Linked DNA regions of Caenorhabditis elegans. The protein of the gene in region 1 purifies or fractionates together with the protein of each later gene. This does not show direct contact. Each region holds a gene or a part of one and is shown on either strand. Other genes may lie near its edges. The genes, in order: rml-5 and F52B11.2.

Region 1 (5,874 bases):
TTTTATTTTTGCCCAATTTTTTTGTTCCAGTTTTCGCAACAATTTACCAAACCTTAAAATTTGTTATCAAAAGTGATAATTGTTGCGGTTTTCTTTTGATCTCTTATCACTGTTCATATTATTTCCCATACTTTATTATTCTGTTTTTTTTTTAATTTTAAATTTCATATTTCCATGAAAAATCATTCATTATTCAATCTACACCTATCTGAATGTTCGGTCGTTTTCGCAAATATGCCACGTATCGATTGATTTCTCTATTCTACGTGTATGTGATGGCTCTTTACTCATTGCAAGTTGATGATGACCTCGATGATAAGGATAAGGATAATTAATTTCGAAAAAAAAAAGTTTTCTTTTTTTGAATAAAGCTAATTTTTTACTTTTTTATGAATCAGTACTAAAAAAAATCTGGAAAATTATGGCCCAAATCAAGAAATTTCCAAAAATTAACGTCTCCGGAAACTTGTTTCTCTTGTTAGGCTCCGCCCATTTTTTAGGCCAAAATTTGAATAAAAAATTGTCAAAAAAAATTTGCCGCGAAGATCATTATTTATATATTAAAAAATATTATGAATTGATACTGGTATAGGGTTAGTATGGGGATATGGTCAGTGTACTGTAGTAGTACTGTAGGGGTACTGTATGAGTACTGTAGGATTACTGTAGTTTTGGAAAAATTGACTTTTTGTCTTTTGAAGAGATATTGGTTTGAGGTTAGTAGGGGGTATAGCCGGGGTACTGTAGTAGTACTGTAGGGGGTGCTGTAGGAGTACTGTAGTTTAAGAAAAAATTTAGTTTTTTTTTTTCAAATTCAAATTTAATGGGAAAATTTTTTGGTGGGAATTAAAATCTTCTGTGATAAAATTTTGGCTGAAATTCAAATTTTCTGAGAAAAAAAACAACTTTTTTAGAAAAATCTGGAAACTTCTAGAATTTTCTAAAAATTGAATTATAATTTTTCAGACCAAACTGGCGACTAGAGTGGCGACTAGACTGAAAATTTTTCAGAGCGACTTTTTTGCAGCTCAAAGCTGTGCTCCCACTTGGTTTCAGTCCGTCAATACGGTTTGATCTACAAAAAATGCGGGAATTTTTTTGCCCAAAAAAATGTGACGTCACTCTTAACCATGCAAAATCAGTTGAGAACTCTGCGTCTCTTCTCCCGCATTTTTTGTAGATCTACGTAGATCAAACCGAAATGGGACACTCTGCCACTGATTTTTTTTGCACCAGGGGCCTATTTAGAATGGGGTTTTTTTTCAAACGAATTAGGTTTTATTTAGAAGTCTGGAACTTAGTTAAAATATATTTTATTTGGCCCTTGTAAGTTTAAGTTTTTCAGAATTTTCAGAACTTTTTGAAAGAATTTTGGCGCGCGAAACTTGAATGCTGTGGTTTTTCATGCTACGTGGCTGCAAAACTTCTATTGTCGCAGATAGAGTATACAATCAATGTCCTGGATCTATCTCGATTTCATTCGCATGTCTCTCTGCGGCTCTCATCTACCAATACTCTCTCACTTCTATCTGTTCGTTGCGATCTCTGCGCTGCCGTCCTTGACCGCGATATGTCATACAGAAACTGTATTCATTCTCGACTTTCTATTTTTTTTTGTTTTGGAGAATTTATGTTCATCTTAAAATTAATTTGGTTTTTGAACATATTGAGGAAACGGTTTTTTGAAAAATAATTTGCTTTTTTTAAAAATTTTTTTCCCAAAACACATTTTAAAAAATTAATTTTAAAAAATTTCTTTGACAAGCGACACGCGGTTCTGGCTTCCCTCATAAATTGAAATGGAAGAATTTGCCGAACTAGGCCAGGCCATATCCGGGGTAGATTTACGGCGCGTTGCGTGTCGCGTCGCGGCTTGATTTCAGTTGTAAAACTAAATGTATTCGTTCGTGTGGAGTGCACGACTTTCCCAGTCCGGCAGGCAATTGTCAATGGAGCGGGAAAAATTTAATGAGGAAGGCCAGAACCCCGTGAAGCGACACTCCGTTGCTAGGCGTTGCAGATTTTTTGTTAAACCTTCGAAATTTCAGTGAAAAATGACCGTTTTGATTACCGGCGGGATTTCAAAAATATCTACTCAACTTGCGGAGGCGGTGCTAAAAAACGGAAGAAATGTGGTTCTTCTGCACAATAATGAGGCGGTAAGTGGTGGCCTACAAAATTTTCGAAAATTAATTTTTAATTATCGAGTAGTATAGGATTTTCCAGCTGGCCGAGAAATCCTTGTAATGGCCTTAAAAGTTTAACGTTCCTATTCCGGCAATTGGTAATTTCGGCAAATTTGCCCAAATTTGTCCAAATTGCCGGAATTGCCGGAATTGCATTTTTAGGCTCCTAAATCTACAAAAAGTATGAAATTTTTATTTCCGGCAATTCTGGCGATTGCAGGTTCTCAAATTTTTCAGCAATCGGCAATTTTGGCAATTGCCGGTTTTTTGAATTTTCGGCAATTACCGAAATTGCCGAACAGCGAAAATGGTTCCCATTGAAAATGCTAGAGTGGCCTAGAAATTCTCAGGTGGCCGAGAAATTTCATGATGGCCTAATTATTTCAAATTTCTCTTCCAGATTCCAACAAATCTGATCAATAATCCATCGCTCACACTTATCAATTTATCATCAATCAACGAGGAAGCAATCAAAAATCTAATCGAAAATTACAAAATCCAAACAATTTTCGACGCATCTCTCACCACAACTGATGTGCTCTTGGAGCCAATTCAAGGAGCTAAGAAATTGATTCTGGTAAGGTTTTAGTAAACATGCTCTATTGGCAAACATTGGGTGTACTCCACGTGAAAATAGAGAAATTTCGAATTTCGTAAAGTCAGAAATTAAAAAAAAAATCCAGAAAACTCCTGGGAAGTCAGAAATTATCAGAAAATTTGGAATATTTTTTTGAAAAATAAAATAAAAATTCCAGAAGTCCACGTGGTGTCAGGCTGTCCCATCACGGTTTGATCTACAATAAATGCGGGATTTTTCCCCCAAAAATATGTGACGTCAGCACGTTCTAAACCATCTGCGTCTCTTCTCCCGCATTTTTTGTAGATCTACGTAGATCAAGCCAAAATGAGACACTCTGACACCACCTGAAAGTCCGAAATTTCTAGAAAATGTTGAATGCTTTAAAAAAAATCAGAAAATTCCAGAGGTTTCTTTAAAAAAAAGGTTGAGAAAAATTGAAAAATTTATATCTTTTCTAAAATTCTAAAAAAAATACAAAAAAATATTTTAAAAATAAATCAACATTTCCAAAAATCTTTGAACAATTTAGAAAATTCACGAAATTGCAGAAATTTTCAGAAATTTCAAATTTTTTTGAAAAATTTCCGTAAAAGCACGCGCGCTCAGTTGACAAACCCCTAGAATTAAAAAAAAATCAATATTTTTTTCAGGGAATCACGTCAATCCTCGATGCAATCCGTAAATCCGCATCCCCACCATCTCTGGTTCTCATTAGTGGTGACGAGGTGTACGGTAGGGCGAAGAATCGTGTCGAGACCCAACCTCTAGAGCCGGTCACATTCATCGGCTCAGCTCAAATGTCCGTTGAAGCAATGGCTCACAGCTATGCTGTCAGTTATCGTATTCCAATGGTCATCGGAAGGGTATCCGATGATTTATCGATTTCTGACGCGACACGTGGATTATTGGCAATTGAAAAGTTGGCACAAAGCCAAAAACCAGCGGAGGTCTACAATATTTCGGCTTCTTCAGCTGAAAAAATTCAGAAAGAAACGAATTGGAGCCCGTCTGGCTCTGTAAAGGAACAGGGACCCATCGAAGAAGTTTTTAAGCCAATTTTCTTAGTTTTCGGAGCTAATTCGGAACTGAAAACTCAATTTTTGGAGCTGCTAAAGCTGGAGGGACTGGTTTCCAAGGTTTGATCTCAAATTTTTGTATTACGGTAGCCACAAAAAAACACCATACTTTACGACAATTTGCAGAAAATATCTAAAAATTACGTCTTTTGTATTACGGTAGCCTCAAAAAAAAAAACACCATACTTTACGACAATTTGCTGCTCCAGGGGTAAAACTAAGCGGGAAATTCAAAAAAAGTGTCTAAAATTCGTTTCTAAATTTTTAAAACTCTCAAAAAGTCAAAACTTAACTAATTTCCAGGAATCCACAATCACAAATCTGCAAGAAGCCACTGATAAATCGGTTATCGATGAGATTAACACAATCAATCCATCCCATTTGGTTTATTTCGGAAATGAAACCGGTAAGTGACTTGGTGGCTGAAGACAGTGGCCGCAAAAAGTTTTTAGGCCATGAAATTATATTTTTTGGTCGGAAATGCTTTTCTTTTTACGCTAAAAAAATCAAAAATGCCAAAAAACAATTTTTTTTGGACTTAAAATTTGTCTCAAAATTCAATTTCACGAATCACGGGTTCTGGCCTTTCTCATTGAATTTTTCGCGCTCCATTGACAATCGCCCGCCGGAAAACGTGTGGGAAAGTCGTATACTCCACACGGACAAACACATTTAGTTTTACAACTAAAATCAAGCCGCGACGCGACACGAAACGCGCCGTAAATCTACCCCAGATATGGCCGAGCCAAAATGGCCTAGTTCGGCAAAAACTCTTCCATTTCAATTTATGAGGGAAGCCAGTGGCCGCAAAAAGTTTTTAGGCCACGAAAGAATCTTTTTGGTCGAAATTTATGTCAATTTATGCTTTAAAAAAATTCAAAAATGTCAAAAAAAAAATTTTTTTTGGACTTAAAATTTGTCTCAAAATTCAATCAAAGCTTTTTTCGCTAAAATATTTTTTCACCGAGAAAAAAATTCTGGGCCAAAAAAAAGCTTTTTATTTCAAATTCCAGACTCATTCGAAGGCGACTGCTTCACTCTCCGTACCAATATGGCGACTAATCTCTATTTTCCATGGCTTCTCGCAAGTATTGCCGAAAAGTTCTCCCTACACTTCACCCATTTTGGAAATACTTCTATGAGCCAAGAGTCTTCAGCTCTTGCCGTTAAAGGATACACTGGGAAAATGTTGGAATATTTCGAAAAAACGCTCATAATTGGACAGAAAATCGATAAAAACGTGCTGGAATCGATTAAGGCATGCAAGACTGGAGGACTTAATAATAATATTTAATTATTGAATTTTTGCAAATTATTTTTGAACTTAAAGCATTCCTTTTTCTGCGATTTTTTCAATCAATAAATTTTGAAATTAGTGTTGTACTGGCAAATTGGCAAAATGCCGGAATTGAAAATTTCAGGCAAATCGGCAAACCGGCAATTTGCCGAAATTGGAAATTTCTGGCAAATCGGCAACCCCGCAATTTGCCAGAATTGAAAATTTCCGGAAAATCGGCAAATCGGCAAACCAGCAATTTGCCGGAATTTAAAATTTTCAGCAAATCGGCAAACCGGCAATTTGCCGGAATTGAAAATTTCCGGAAAATCGACAAACCGGCAGATTGCCGGAATTTAAAATTTCCGGCAAATCGGCAAACCGGTGAATAGCCGCAATTTGAAATTTCCGGCAAATCGGCAAAACTGGCAAATTGCCGTAATTTAAAATTTCTGGCAAATTACCAGAATTGAAAATTTACGGCAAATTAACGGAATTGAAAATTTCTGCCAAATCGGCAAACCGGCAATTTACCGGAAATGAAAATTTCCGGCAAATCGACAACCCGGCAAATTGCCGAAAATGACAATTTCCGGCAAATCGGCAAACTGGCAATTTGCCGACTTTCCGAATTTGTGGACAAAAAAAATTGCCGAACGGGAATTGCCGGCCCCTGGTGTACTCTACGTTCAAAACAAATTTGTAATTTTTGTTAACATAAAATTTGAAATAAAAATCTTTATGCTTCGTTTTTAT
Region 2 (3,743 bases), on another chromosome or scaffold:
AATGCTGCTCTAAAAATACGGTGCCCGGTCTCGACACGACAAATGTTGGCTAACTGCGAAGAGGTGTGCGCCTTTAAAAATTACTGTAACTTCAAAATTTTGTTTCTGCAGAATTTTCTTGATTTTTCATACAGTGCATTTTTTTCCAACTTCTACGACTAAAAAAAACGCGCATCCCATTGATTTGTTGAGCGCGTGGCGAGACCAATGACGGGATCATTTTGTATAAATGCGCGCGCCTTTAAAGTCGTAGAAGTGGAAAAAAAATGCACTGTAGTTTTCGTTATTATTTATTTTAATCTAAAAATTGAAAAATCGATTAAAAAAATTCTACAGTACTCATTAAAGGCGCACACTTGATTGTATATAACAAAAATTGTCGCGTCGAGACCTGGAACCCCATTAAATTGGTAAATTTGGATAATCAGAATATCAGCCAAGATCGCTGTAAGTTTATTCTAGTTTTTGGCGTGCCTACAAGGCATCATGTCCGCCGTGTAGGCGCGTAGGCAGGCCTAGATTCCAGGCAGTTCAAATTCGATTTCATAAACTATTCATATTTCACAGAAAAATGAACTGCGGTTTATCCAAAAAAAAGAAACCAGTGGGAATGAAAAGGATCACAATAAATAAATACTAGTATTTAGAATTACATAAATATTTAACTAGAAAAACAAAAAGAATATAATTTAAGCTTAATCCAACTCCTTGAGCACATTCTCCACATGTTTCCGAGTATCTTCTGGCCCTTCAACAGTATGTCCGACAGTCCGTTCGTCGGCAAAAATCTCATGATCGTTTCCGCCAGGCGCGGTTTTATCTCCGAAAAAGTGAATTGTATCGAAATCTGGCACTAAATATTGCAAACAAAAGGTCTTATCCCATCCAGTAGGGAATACATCAACACTAATTTGTCCTCCGATTGCAAACTGGAGCCCGTATTGCCCGAACTTCTCGCGGAGCTGCTCGGTGAACTTTTGGCGAATTCCGTGCTTCTTATCAAACTCCACAAATTGCATTCGTTCCTCTTGTGAGCAACTCCGTCCAATAGGCGACAAATTGATCATCCCGTTTCGGAATTCGACGAAATTTCCACGTTTCACAGGAAGTTGAATGTCAGACATGTAGCGGAGAGCAAAATTGATGAGCTCTTGGAGCTTCGCATCGCCGATGGCTTTCTGGATTGATTGTACTGGATACGGTTCGGTGCCCTTGAATCCGTAGAGCCCGTTCTCCGAGAATGTGTAGTCGAACAGGGAGAGCACTGGAAAAAATGAGGAAATTAGGATTTGTAATTCAAAAAAAAAAATTAGCAAAGACATACACAAATCCTTATCGTGATCTGCCAGCTGCTCTGTGATCTTCTTAAAGTCCGATCCTCCGACGATTGCCAGCGGGACACGCTTGCGAGCCTCGATCAGGAATTCTCGCATTTCAGGCGTAATAGTCTGAAAATGTTGGGGTTTTTTAAATTTAGATGTAGAAGCAAAATTTTGCCCCCCAAAAACGGCGCCTGGTCTCGACACGACATACTCTTCAAAGGCGCATTGTCGTGTCGAGACCCAGGTACCGTATCGCAAAAATCTCGCAGACTAACCTGACGAGCAGCAGTGAGTGTTCCATCGACGTCGAACACCAAAATTGTTCGGCTACTCGCTGGAGAAGTCATCTGAAAAATTTTTTTGGTGTTTTTTTTTAAATTTTTTAAGGATTTTTTTTGGAATAAAAGTTTTTTGTTGAAAAATTCGGAAAATGGAAAATAATACATTTAATGTCAATTTTCTTCGAGAGAGAGACCAAAATGTATAAAGAGAGATGAGTGAATAGTTGAGGATCAAAATGAAGAACACCGATAGAGAGAAATTGGGTGAAACAAAAAATAGAACAAAAAAAGGTTTTTGGAAAACTAGAAGAAAATAAATAAAATAATAATATAAAGAAGGGTAAGTTCAATTTGTTTTTTGTTCAAAAGATAAAAATCATAAAAATTTTGAAGAACAACGAATGAAAAAGCCAGTGCTTCGTGTAATATACGCAACGTGTCGTTAGAGTGTCTGCGTCTCTTCACTCTCTCTCTCTCCGCCATATTTCAGGACGACACCTATTCAAACAGAAAAAAATGTTGTTCAGATTTGGAAAAAAGATACGAAATTCCACGGAAATGAAAGAATATGATAGTTTTGAGGAAAAAACTAAAAAAAATAGGGAAATTTTAATTATTCTGCGTCTCCTCCTCCTTCTGTACAGCCAGATTTGCTAGAAATTCGGCGGTATCTTCCATTTCATCATCGTTTTTTGATGATGATGATGATGATGATGATGTTGAGCTGATTGGTGTCGTTGCTCCGTGAGCCGAGGCGGATGATGACGTGGATTGGGACTTGTTGAATAGGGACATTTGCTCGGAATCAATAATATCTGTAAAATTTCATTTTTAGATTTAAAAATCTGTGAAATTTTGAGGATTTTCTCATTCAGACACGGGATATGTGTCGATTTACGGAGCTCGTGTACTCCTCGAGCAGAAGCGGTTTTCCCTGGAAAAACCAGATTTTGAATTTTTTTTGCTGATTAATAACATATTTAACGGTGAAATCGCCAATTTTTTAATTTTTTTCAGTTGCTTTTAACAGCAAATTCGGCTTTTTGACCGTTAAATACAAAAAAAATTAGAGAAATTGGTCCAAATTCAAGCTTTTCGACAAAAACTGTAAAATTCTCAAACTTCTCCTCGGGGAGTACACAATTCCCGTAAATCGACACGGGGCAGTTTGTGCGAAAAATGCAGTGCCTGGTCTCGACGCGACAAATTTTCGCTAACTGCAAAAATCTGTGCGCCTTTAAAGATTACTGGAACTTTAAATTTTAGTTGCAGCGGAATTTCCAGTGATTTTTATAGTTTTCCGATAAAAAAGTTAAAAAAAAACCAAAATTTGAAATTACAGTAATCTTCAAAGGCGCACACATTTTTGCACCCAACAAAAAATTGTCGTGTCGAGACCGGCCACCGTAATTTTGGCGCGAAAATCGCAAAATTTCGCAGAAAAAATGAGCATTTTTCCGTACTCGGCTGTTTGTGCATCATAATCGACAGAGCATTCGTTGTCCATTCGGCGTGAGCATTCAATTTGTGCATCTCGTGGCACAGCTCATACATTTTCTGAAACAGACAAGCTTGTTCCAGCTCAATAGTTCCTCTCAACGATGGTATCCATTTGTGATGCTTGTGACACGCGTCCTTCTTCGTTCGACAGCCTTCCTCACCGAATGGGCTGAAAATTGATTGATTTGCAATTTTATTTGCTGAATGGCCGAGGTTTTTCTCGGCCACGGTCGAAGATCTGACAAGATTCAGCGATTTTTTTGCTATTTTTCCCGAATTTTTCTTTTTTTTCGGTCATTTTTTCACAATTTTTCACGCAAAAACGAGCAAAAAAAGCTCTAAATCTCTTGTCGGATCCTCGGCCATCAAAAAATTCTCCAAATTCTCCACTAACTCTTCCATTTCAATCAATTCTGAAACTGTCTTCGCCGTCTCAATCATTCCATCTTCCCATTTCTTCGGATAACCGCACACTTTCAAATGCTGTTCATCGCCCAGTTTTCGATGTTCTGGGCACAGAGATTTCAGCCGTTTACAGAAAGAATTCGTTCGCGAATCATATTTTTCACAATAAAACATGTCGTTATTCTTCTCCGGTGCTCCGAATGAGATTGCCTTTTCGCTTCGAGCCCAACACAGC

The links.
Region 2: the proteins of rml-5 (region 1) and F52B11.2 fractionate together in Caenorhabditis elegans (co-fractionation; one large-scale study listed by BioGRID). This does not show direct contact.

What each region holds. Positions count from the first base shown.
Region 1 is NC_003279.8:1,791,206-1,797,079, forward strand, and holds rml-5 (NAD(P)-binding domain-containing protein), read left to right. Parts: upstream 1-2,048; 5' UTR 2,049-2,054; coding exon 2,055-2,159; intron 2,160-2,586; coding exon 2,587-2,763; intron 2,764-3,416; coding exon 3,417-3,902; intron 3,903-4,145; coding exon 4,146-4,248; intron 4,249-4,855; coding exon 4,856-5,136; 3' UTR 5,137-5,219; downstream 5,220-5,874.
Region 2 is NC_003282.8:14,081,494-14,085,236, reverse strand, and holds F52B11.2 (putative phosphomannomutase), read right to left. Parts: upstream 1,670-3,743; coding exon 1,598-1,669; intron 1,449-1,597; coding exon 1,325-1,448; intron 1,265-1,324; coding exon 696-1,264; 3' UTR 542-695; downstream 1-541. Other genes in the region: cfp-1 (CXXC-type zinc finger protein 1), read right to left, coding at 2,213-2,418, 3,067-3,272, 3,498-3,743. UniProt on the Caenorhabditis elegans protein: Involved in the synthesis of the GDP-mannose and dolichol-phosphate-mannose required for a number of critical mannosyl transfer reactions.